Linked DNA regions of Arabidopsis thaliana. The protein of the gene in region 1 interacts with the protein of each later gene in a pairwise test. Each region holds a gene or a part of one and is shown in the gene's direction. Other genes may lie near its edges.

Region 1 (5,518 bases):
ACTTTGTGAACTTTAGGTCCGGTTAGTGACCATTGATCAGGTATTAACTTTTTTCAGCAATGGTCTAGTTTGGTCCACGTCTTGAGAACCTGGATCCTGAAATGTGTGAAACTTGGAAGGAATTGACTGTCATACCAAATATAACCGGTTTGATTGCCCGGTTATGAGCTGAGTAAGTAGTTAACCAGAAGGGTCAATTTGTAAATTAAGAGACATCTGATCGAATTTTGTTCCGACGACCGTGAATCACCAGCAAAGGATTCGTGTCAATGTTCTTGTGAGATCGAACTTTCTCTGGGTTCGTGCAGAAGCTTTGCTTTTTTGAGTATCGCGTTTAAGGTTCGGATGGAATTTTAGGCTTTTCGTTGGTCATTCTCTTGTTCAATGCTTCTTTTGCTTGATTAAGCTTTTCAGCTAATCGGATTTTCTTCTCTCACATCAGGCACATCGAAGAAGAGAGACCCTAATTTGATATTTTGAGTTCTATCGATGGCTTCGCTACTAGCTCGCAGGTCGTTCAGTGCTCTCCGAGCTCGACATCTCGTAAGAATCTCGTAGGCTCTTCCATTTTATATCGCTTATATTCCTAGAAATTTGGAATTGCTGCTAAGTTTTTTGAAATCACTAGTTGGTATTGTCTGCCCCGGCCGGCTCTAGGCATGTGCAAGTGGTGCTGCTATACATGTTTTTGTCTTTTTTTTTCCTGGGTATTGTTCCTCTATGCATCTCTTTGTATTGCGTTGGTACATCAATCGTGAAGCTTCATTTTTCCTTTAGATCATATACTCTTCCTTGAAGAGAGAATGTATCGCCTAAATGTTGTTATCTCAATCTCTGCAAATATAAATACTTTAACTGAGAGCGTCGTGGTAGTTAACTTTTACTTTCAATAGCTCTTTTGGTGGCTATGCTATGGAATTCTTCTCGCATTTAACATCTACCTTGTCTTTGTTGATAGGCTTTTTCAGGGCAAGGTTTACAGGGATCTCATCTCTGTGGGCTACAGTCCCGTGCTATATCTTATGGAAGCAACAAAGGTATAAATTTTGTTGCTTCCATTTGGGTTCTCTTGGTTAATTTAGGCTATGACTTTTCAGGAATATAGGTTACTAATCCTTTGCCTCTGGTAATATGTAGATGATGAAGAAGCTGAGCAGCTTGCTAAAGAGATCTCCAAGGACTGGAGTACTGGTAAGCTATTTGATCCAGACACTTTTCAACCTTTCTATTCTCTTAGCATTCCTTCCTGATTACTTCCTTCTGCGAGTCTTAGCGATTCCTGATGTTTCTTACTTTTACAGTCTTTGAACGGAGCATGAACACCCTATTTCTCACTGAAATGGTCAGGGGTTTGTCACTGACCCTCAAGTACTTCTTTGATCCAAAAGTTACAGTGAGTGGCTGTCTCCCTTGACTCTAGTAATTAGGCTGAAAGAAAAATATTCTGATTCTCAAGTTTTATCTTTTGTGCAGATCAATTATCCTTTTGAGAAGGGTCCATTGAGCCCTCGTTTCCGTGGTGAACACGCTCTTCGAAGGTATCCAACTGGGGAAGAACGCTGCATTGCCTGCAAACTCTGCGAAGCTGTGAGTTTTTGAAGTCTATGCTACTCGAGAATTCATACCACAGCACAATATTGACATAAAGTGTGATTTTTCATGGATACTGGTCTTTTGCTCATCAGGTATGTCCAGCTCAAGCAATCACAATAGAGGCAGAGGAGCGGGAAGATGGAAGCCGCAGAACCACTAGGTCACCCTCTAAGTTCCCGTTTATTAACCATATATATATTATTTAATACTGTCTTGTCTCTATGGTTCTTCTATATATTTCGTAGTGTAGTGATTGTTCGGAGCTGTACAGGTATGATATCGACATGACGAAATGCATCTATTGTGGTTTCTGCCAAGAAGCTTGCCCTGTTGATGCAATCGTGGAAGGACCAAACTTTGAGTTTGCAACCGAGACACATGAGGTCTGTATAAACAATTCAGAAAGACATAAGATTGCCCATGATCTTAAAGTTAGATGTGTATTATTCGATAAATGACATTCTGATTCTTTTTGGTGTGCAGGAACTTCTGTATGACAAAGAGAAGCTTCTTGAGAATGGAGATAGGTGGGAGACAGAGATTGCAGAGAATCTGAGGTCGGAGAGCCTCTACCGCTGAATATTGATCCGAAAATGCCTTTTGCCTAATTCTTAAGGAAACGTTTTCGTTTGCTTCTGTTACAAATAAAGATGCTTCAGCCTTTGCACTGTTATTGCTATCTGTATTTCTTGAGTTCATACCGATGGCAAAATCAAATTTGGCTTTGTTTCCGGTTTGAGCTGGACCGTGCGGTAAATGGATTATGATATGATTCAATGGTGTTGTTACTCTCAGTGTCGGTCGGTCAAGTGTCTAACAAAAAATTGCTAATATCTGAAGAGAACATTAATGATGTAAAATACAGAGAAATACAAGGGTAAAATGGTAGTTTAATAGACTGGCATGAACATGCATAATTGCATATCTAGTAAAAACCTCTGATTGGCAGAAACTCCAGCTCAGGAACTTACTCTATTTGGAATTTCGTCTTAAATTCGCTTTCTCATCTTCTTTTACTTCTCGGTTTCAAGATCTCTTTCAGAGATTTCTCATTTTACTTATCCTCCTGGCTTGCGTGAGTTTAGACGTGCGACATTGTTTCTTCATCGTAATCATAGGTTACGTTTTCTTGATCTCGTAAGGAAGAATCTTCCTCACTAGGCTCTGATCTTTGCGGTGGAAGATTGCTTCTTTCTTTGTGTATCAAATTTTAAAGTTGGATTGAAGTCCTAGGTTTTATCATCTGAGGTTTAGATGTATCTTCTTTCTTTGCTTATGCTTGGTTTTACTACTGATTATGATTATGCTGGTTAATTGGTGTTGCTTTAGGGATTTCACGTTACACTTGCTCCCATGGACAATGATGTTTTCCAGATTCGCCGGTCCATGCGAGACGCTATGTAAGCCTTCAATTTTTCACATTCACTCGTTCCTCTTGCACTCTTTTCCTTTTCTCTGTTAGTTGCTGCTGTACTACGGATTGAGTTAATGTGTCTGGGAAAGTGGGAATGATCTAACTTATTACTGCTTTTTGGCTCTGTGATCATGTATTTCTGCTTTGTTTCTTAAGAAACAATATCATCTATTAGTGTTTCTACTACTGAAATGTTACTTATTTGGATTCCAGTCTTGTCACATTGGTGTTCATAGTTGTTTTCCTCTCTGCGTGTATATCTCCGAACCACACTAGAGGGTTTCTTGATGGGTTGTTACCTCATTTGAGGAAACGTTTCAAATTAACTGATCATCCAATCTTTCCAGCTTCGTCCAGTTAGAGAAGCGAAACCCACTTCCGAATGATGATGCATCAAAGGGGAAGCATTTAGATGCTGCTAAACGCTTAGAGGAAGGACTTTTTAAAATGGCTATGACAAAGGTACATCAATTATATTTACTTGATTAGTTATAAGCATTTAGGATTTGATTTACTGAGAATTTCTAAGTTCTAACTAAACAAGACTGGTTGATGCCTTCTGACATGTTGTCACTGAATCCAGCTTGTTTGCTATATGTCCTCCCTTATAAATATTTTCGTTTCTGACACTTTTAACTTCAAAACTCACAGGAGGAATACTTGAACCCGTCAACTCTTGAATCTCGCTTGACAAGCTTAATAAAAGGCAGGCAATTGAATAAGTACAAGCACCAACATGCTGATTCTTCTACGCTTGGAACAACCATAACACCTACTCCAGGAGTCTCTGCTGAACCCACAATGGTACATTACATACATCGAATTATTCACGAGCTTTAATTAAGAGGCGTATAATTCGAAATGTAATATTATAAACATTCTGAACTTTGTGATGTTCCAAATTTTTTTGGTTTGGAGCAGGATAATGAGAACAGAGATCAGTGCGAGACAGAGATTGCTGAGAATCTGAAGTCAGTGAGCCTTGAGCCATGAAGATTATCAGAAAGTTCTTTTTACGACTTGTTTGGAAACGTTTTCATTGCTTATGTTACAAGGAAAAGATGATAACATATACAATACTAACGCTTCTGCCTTCTCCATTGCTACTGTATTGCTAATTGTAAGATCTAAAGTAGGAATGGTAAAACCGGTTATGATTTGTTTCCGGTTAGACTTGGAACATGTATGAATTTGAATGGTTTATTATTAGTTACTCTTGGTAATCGGTACAGAAAAAAAAGTAGTTGCGAAAGTAAACAGAGCAAAAACTACAAGGGTGTGAAGATTTAAATTACTGGAACATTTGATCGGACGGATAGGAGCGCATGTATCTCCGACACTTCTCCTTGGCTGTTGGATTGTCGACCTTGGTTCCCCCAATTAACTTTGACAGAGGTTCCTTGATGATTCGTATTCAGACATAAGTAACATAAGGTAAGTGTTATTTAATGTGTCTTTTGTTACTTACAAAATCAAAACCAAAAATCCCTAAATAGCCAAAAAAAATAAATCAAAATCCCCAAATCGAAGAATTCAGACTTCTCTGATTTCGAAATAATTTGTCGATATTTCAATTTCCTCGTCGTCTAGGTTTTGGAGGAATCTCGTTCTGGGATTTGTCTACGTACTTGTGTTTGATCCTATTTTTTATCCTGGCTTGTGTGAGTTCACACGTGCGACATCGGCTGTTCAGCGACTTTATTGCTCCGTTCTACTTCGTTTTCAAGATTCGATCATCGTAATCTTTAGTAACGTTTTTGGGGAAGATTTTTTTTGCTGGGTTTTGCTCTTTGCGGCTGAAGTTTGTTTCTTTGTGAGTCAATTTCAAGGTTATTGCTCCTCCTGTTGTCTGTTTCGTAATTGTTTACAATTTTGTTGGTTTTGCTATTGGGTTTTAGTTGCTTTGATCATAGTCTATGATTCTAGTTCGACTGAATTGCAATCATGTCACTTCAATTGAAAGTGTGGAATATTATTTTGCAGGACACTTGACGGTGCTAGGTGTATTGAGCTGCTACACTGAGATCACTTGTAAGAATAATAAAGAGCAGGAGATGAACTTTCGATCTTTTGGCTTCTCGGGGACAGAAGAGTTATGCAGTGCCTGTTAGTGTTAGTTGCAAGACGAATTAGGAGACGACGACGAAGATTTAAGAGATAACATGAATGTTCAGGCTCACATGTCTGGTCAACGGTCTGGGCAGGTTCCAAACCAAGGGACAGTGCCGCAGAATAATGGAAACTCTCAAATGCAGAATTTAGTTGGTAGTAATGGTGCTGCTACTGCTGTTACTGGTGCTGGTGCTGCTACTGGTTCTGGTACTGGTGTAAGGCCTTCACGTAACATCGTTGGTGCCATGGATCATGATATTATGAAACTTCGACAGTACATGCAAACTCTTGTGTAAGCCTTCAATTTCAGCTATAGCACTGCTTGCTTGTTAGTTGCCTCTGTGTTATGGATTGAGTTAATGTTGTTTCAATGTGGGCGGGGAATGGACCAACGTATTA
Region 2 (5,202 bases), on another chromosome or scaffold:
CTGCTTCTGGGTTTGTCGTTGTTTCTCGAGGAGCCATTTTGGGGAAATAATTGAGTTTGGTTCTGAACGACGCCGCATTGGTTAGGGAATCTTTGGCTTGTGATTGGTGATTTTCTGATACTAGTTGTTACCTGCTTCAGACCTGTAAAAGTTGTCTGAAGTACAGAGAGATATGAATTTATTAACTCTTCAAGTTCAAGATTCACTTGATTGAATAAAAAGTTTCTAAAAAAGAAGTTACTTCAGATTCGAACTCACGAAATCGAAACAACCCAATAAGTCTAAGAGACCAGCAGATATGAAGAGAGAGGTGACGAGGAACAGAGTAGCTTTAGCGATGCTTTTTGCTGGATGCGACGCCGTTTTAAGATAGACATACTTATTCTTGTTCGTTAGAAGATTGTTGTTGTTCCTCTTCATGCTTTTCCGTTGAAGCATGAATCTATATCTATCTCAGCTTTATATATATCTATGTTCACAAACATTCAACAGGAAGAGAAGAAAAACGAGAATCAGGTGAGATTAAACGTTACCGAAGCTAGGAGGAAGCTCAAAGGTTTGATTCTGGTGATCGATTGGTGCTCTTCCACGAGGATTTGAATCTTGTTTCACGTTATCTTCAACACTAACCAGAGTTCACATCTTTTGTGTTAATGACGTTCATATTTTTGTGTGAATCTTGTTTACTTTTTAGTTTTTCGAAGAGTTAAAATGTTTTTAAATATTAAATAGATAATATTTTATTAATTAGTAGGAGACATTTGGTCATCCATATTTGGTATTCCTATGCTCAAATCACATATGGACATTGATATGTGATACACAAATGTTTCCCAAATAATCGTCTCTTATTAACGTTGTATTTATTGGTAAATAACTAAATACAAGACCTTTGATGTTCTTAGAAAAATAATCTGCTTACTACAAAAATAAAACTGCAAGAGTTCAATTAATTAAAGTCCTCTTTGGGAAAGTTTGTTATAAGTGCTTTAAACTGAATAAAAGAATCCGAACTTCGAAGAAAGAAGAAAGAAGATAAACCTTAACCCATTAAATAAAGGTCAGTGACATCATAGTCCATATTCGACCACTCATCATCATACAAGACAGATAATTAATCGTAAATAATTCCATGTTGTAGAGTACTTTTTATTATTATACAAATACATTAATACATCTTTCACAGGCTGTTCGAAACTGTGAGTCTGTGATTAGTGATTAGCCTTAATTAATTTACTTTATTGCTTTGTTAGAAAAAAAATTACACCTTTCTTTAAATTAAAACAAGTTGGGCAGGAAATTTAAAAACCCGTTGGGCCATTAGGATTCACAAAAGCCCAACACCTACAAAAAGAGATGTCTCCATCTCATAGTCCATATACCACATGCTTAAACCAGTTTAAATTGCATATACCACGCGCCACATAACCGGAAAGTTTTGTACACGCGCGAGACACAGACATTATCCTTTTTGTATCTGTCTTCCAGCGTGTCGAGTCAGTGAGGCTCCACGTCACCCTTTGATCCACTTAAATTTTAAAACTAAAATAATTGTTTAAATGAATTCGAGTGATTGATATTTTATTATAGATTTAATACACACCCGACACTCTGTCAATTCTATAGGCATACGAGCTCACTCCAAATTTAGATTCAGTTTTTTAATACGAACTTTTTAGTTAAGCCAAGATTAGCAATAATATAGATCATTTATTTTCTTGATTGTAGTTTGATTGTTGTTTTTCTCATAATAAAAAAATCCCAGCTAAAATCTGATTTTCAATTTTAAACCAATTTATATGGTAAACAAAATTTTAGTTCGGTATAATTGGAAGAATTAAGTTTTGTTGAATATCAGGAAAAAAGAAGGGGAGGACAAATTTTCTACAGAGGTGACGTGGCATCATTGAACCACTTTACTTGTCGGCAGTGAGGTGTGTTTAATCACGTGTAACGCATCCAATGCGTATGAGAGCTTTACAGCCGCACGATCACATGGGTACAAAAATCAACGGCGAAGCAAAACAAGAGTCTCACACTTATTAAACGCGCGTAGTACGCTCCACCGGTATAAGCTAACGGAGGATATAAAAACTCTTTAACTCATTATTGTCCTAAAATCTCAATTTTATCCATTTTCACGGAAAAAACATAAAATCTGTTCTTCTTCTTCGGCTGAGAGACAATGGCGGAGGAGCAAAAGACGAGTAAGGTTGACGTAGAATCTCCGGCTGTTTTAGCTCCGGCGAAGGAACCGACTCCTGCTCCGGTGGAAGTCGCGGATGAGAAAATTCATAATCCACCTCCCGTCGAGTCCAAAGCTCTTGCCGTTGTAGAAAGTAAGCTTTCTATTTACATACGTGTGTGTTTTATATATGTTAATCTTCTACTTAGGAGGATTCATTCATGTTTACGATGAATTATTATAGTATGTAATTCAGAATTCTTACGTTTGGAACTAAGGTTTCAATTTACAATTAACAAATGGATTTTCTTAAGATGCCTAAGGTTTTTGTGAGTTCTTTTGCATATGACTTGGTCTATACTCTATTTGTTTAGGTGAAATCCATCGCTGTTAGAATTTACAACTTCATCATGGCATTTTCAAGAGAATTATGTTTTTCGAGGATGATATTATTAAAATATGATTAATAGTAAAGCAATGTTCCCTGTAATTAGTGTTATCAAAAAGTGTATGGAATCATGACAAATTAGTTGTGGACAGCTATGAATTAAGGAAAGTGGGTTACTTTCTTAATATTCCTACATTTTTTCCTTCCTTTAAAGTTGCTTAACTCTTGGAAAATAACAATTAAGTACTAACTTTCCAGCAGTTTTTATAATCCTTGAACATTCATTTGTTCATCTTTATTTACTATCTGTAATTCCTTCTGTGTGGAGTTTCGTTTTATAAACTACTATTTTGATGACCTTATTAGCCAATTAGAGCAACAAAATTTAACTTAGTTAAAAGTGAGCTTCTTGCAACAAATATCCATGTGTTATACTTATAAGTGTGCTTCTTGCAGAACCCATCGAGGAGCATACACCTAAGAAAGCTTCATCTGGTTCGGCCGATAGAGGTCAGCTGATAACAACACTTTGTTTCTCATGTCCAGTTTCTTAGTTACTTAGTTCAGTAATTTACTTCAAATGTGTGTTGTGTGTGTTTGGTCAGATGTGATACTTGCCGACTTGGAAAAAGAGAAGAAAACGTCATTCATCAAAGCATGGGAAGAGAGTGAGAAGTCAAAGGCTGAGAACAGGTAAACTTTCATCATCTTCTCACCCAAAGATTACTATTGCTTACAGATCTCTGATGATCTTGAAATGGACAGGGCACAAAAGAAGATCTCTGATGTGCATGCTTGGGAAAATAGCAAGAAAGCAGCCGTAGAAGCTCAACTTAGGAAGATCGAGGAAAAATTAGAGAAGAAAAAAGCGCAGTACGGTGAGAAAATGAAGAACAAAGTAGCTGCAATCCACAAGTTAGCAGAAGAGAAGAGAGCAATGGTTGAAGCTAAAAAAGGAGAAGAGCTTCTCAAAGCTGAAGAAATGGGTGCTAAGTATAGAGCCACTGGTGTAGTACCAAAGGCAACGTGTGGATGTTTCTAAGCCTTTATTGAATTTGTATCTTTGTAACAATTCATCTCTGTTTCTTTCTTCTTCTTTTGTTTTTGTGTGATTCAACAACTCTTTTTAGTTTTTGTTATTTGTTTGGTCGTTTGTGTCTTGTTTACATATTGGGTGATTGTGTGTAAAAGTGAAAGATTAATGGAGTATAATTGTATGAAGCATCAAATCTTGTTTTGCCTTTTGTTTCAGTTGTACGACTTCACATCTGATCTGTAACTCTTAAAATGCTAAGACACTTGACTTGACACACACCAACTATAATCCTTAAACAGTTCAGGCACAGGTGGAGATCTAAAAGCAATAAACAAGCGAATGAAGTTAAAATGTCTTCTTCGGTTTGATCTCACTACTCGGAAATTCCTCTCAAGTCTTCAAGATGAGAGAACATCAAAATGAAAAGGTGAAAAGGTTTCTAAGAACATGAAAATTAGAGATGAGAGAAGACAACTTTAAGGTTCATATCATGCAGCAGAAGAAGTCTTCAATTCAAACCAAATCAAGCCGGTACTGCTTTAAAGGTTTAGACACAATCAACCGCTTCCATCGCCATCAACCACCTATACTGTCTCTTCTTGCCTCAGTACAGTACTCTATGTGTTGCCTTCATCTCTAGAACGAGCTAGTGGCTGCCAAAGCTGAATGATTTGCCTCCTCACTACACCTAAATAACCGCAAACCAAAATCAATGGAAATTTGGTCTATGAGCAATGCAGGTTAGTTCTAATGTCAAGATGCCTAGAGAGGGATTTGTCTCACCGGTTAGTCCATCAATGCCTTGCCGGGTAGAGAATGTACACCAGGTAGAAGTTACTGACAGTAGATTGCCTTGTCGATAAGTGAAGGTATGGGCTTGATTTCAGTTCCAAGTTCTTGCTCTGTCTGATACCTGTTGGAAACCAAATAATTGAGTAAGAAAGCTATAGCATCTATGAAAAGAGAGGCCACACCAGTTGAGAAAAAGAAACACGAACATTTTGAAGCGGTCCTCATAAGTTACCAAATTCACAGCCAACCCAAGGTGTCCAAATCGTCCTGATCTGCCTACCTGGTAATATAATGAAGCAAAAACCCATTCACAATTTGAACAAATAAAACAGAGCAGGTTCTCAAGAAGATAAACCAAAATCGGCTTCCCTTAACATACCCTATGTAGATACGACTCAGAAGTCCTAGGAAAATCGAAATTTATCACCACATTCACAGCTTGAATGTCAATCCCACGTGTAAACAAATCTGCAACAGACAGACATTCCCCGTGAAACATAAACACATTTGTCAATGTTCAAGCACATGAAATACACAAAACGTACCAGTGCAAACAAGATTTCTGCATGCACCATTGCGGAAATCATGGAAAACCCTGTTCCGATGGTCTTGAACCATCTTTGCATGGATATAGAAGCATGAGTAACCAAGTTCTGTAATTTTCTTGGCCAACAGCTCAACACGATTAACAGAGTTGCAAAAGATAATGGATTGGTTTATTTGGAGCTGCAATAGATAAAACAATATTTCCTTTAAAAGATACATCAAGTAGCCAGAAAATAAAACATTGGGGTTTTAAGA

The links. Proteins that work in one complex are often made in the same cells at the same time.
Region 2: the proteins of AT1G16705 (region 1) and AT2G45820 interact in a two-hybrid assay, tested with the Arabidopsis thaliana proteins (one large-scale study listed by BioGRID).

The regions. Positions count from the first base shown.
Region 1 is NC_003070.9:5,709,523-5,715,040, forward strand, and holds AT1G16705 (p300/CBP acetyltransferase-related protein-like protein), read left to right. Parts: upstream 1-2,565; 5' UTR 2,566-2,711; exon of another isoform or gene 2,712-2,922; 5' UTR 2,923-2,946; coding exon 2,947-2,993; intron 2,994-3,354; coding exon 3,355-3,469; intron 3,470-3,658; coding exon 3,659-3,811; intron 3,812-3,925; coding exon 3,926-4,000; 3' UTR 4,001-4,230; downstream 4,231-5,518. Other genes in the region: AT1G16700 (Alpha-helical ferredoxin), read left to right, coding at 490-543, 959-1,037, 1,138-1,191, 1,302-1,393, 1,474-1,587, 1,686-1,753, 1,865-1,976, 2,077-2,172; HAC12 (histone acetyltransferase of the CBP family 12), read left to right, coding at 5,170-5,411.
Region 2 is NC_003071.7:18,861,560-18,866,761, reverse strand, and holds AT2G45820 (Remorin family protein), read left to right. Parts: upstream 1-2,020; 5' UTR 2,021-2,185; coding exon 2,186-2,339; intron 2,340-3,029; coding exon 3,030-3,083; intron 3,084-3,178; coding exon 3,179-3,266; intron 3,267-3,338; coding exon 3,339-3,615; 3' UTR 3,616-3,809; downstream 3,810-5,202. Other genes in the region: DTA2 (downstream target of AGL15 2), read right to left, coding at 1-155, 259-438; AT2G45810 (DEA(D/H)-box RNA helicase family protein), read right to left, coding at 4,444-4,522, 4,608-4,681, 4,781-4,869, 4,947-5,127. UniProt on the Arabidopsis thaliana protein: Exhibits a non sequence-specific DNA-binding activity.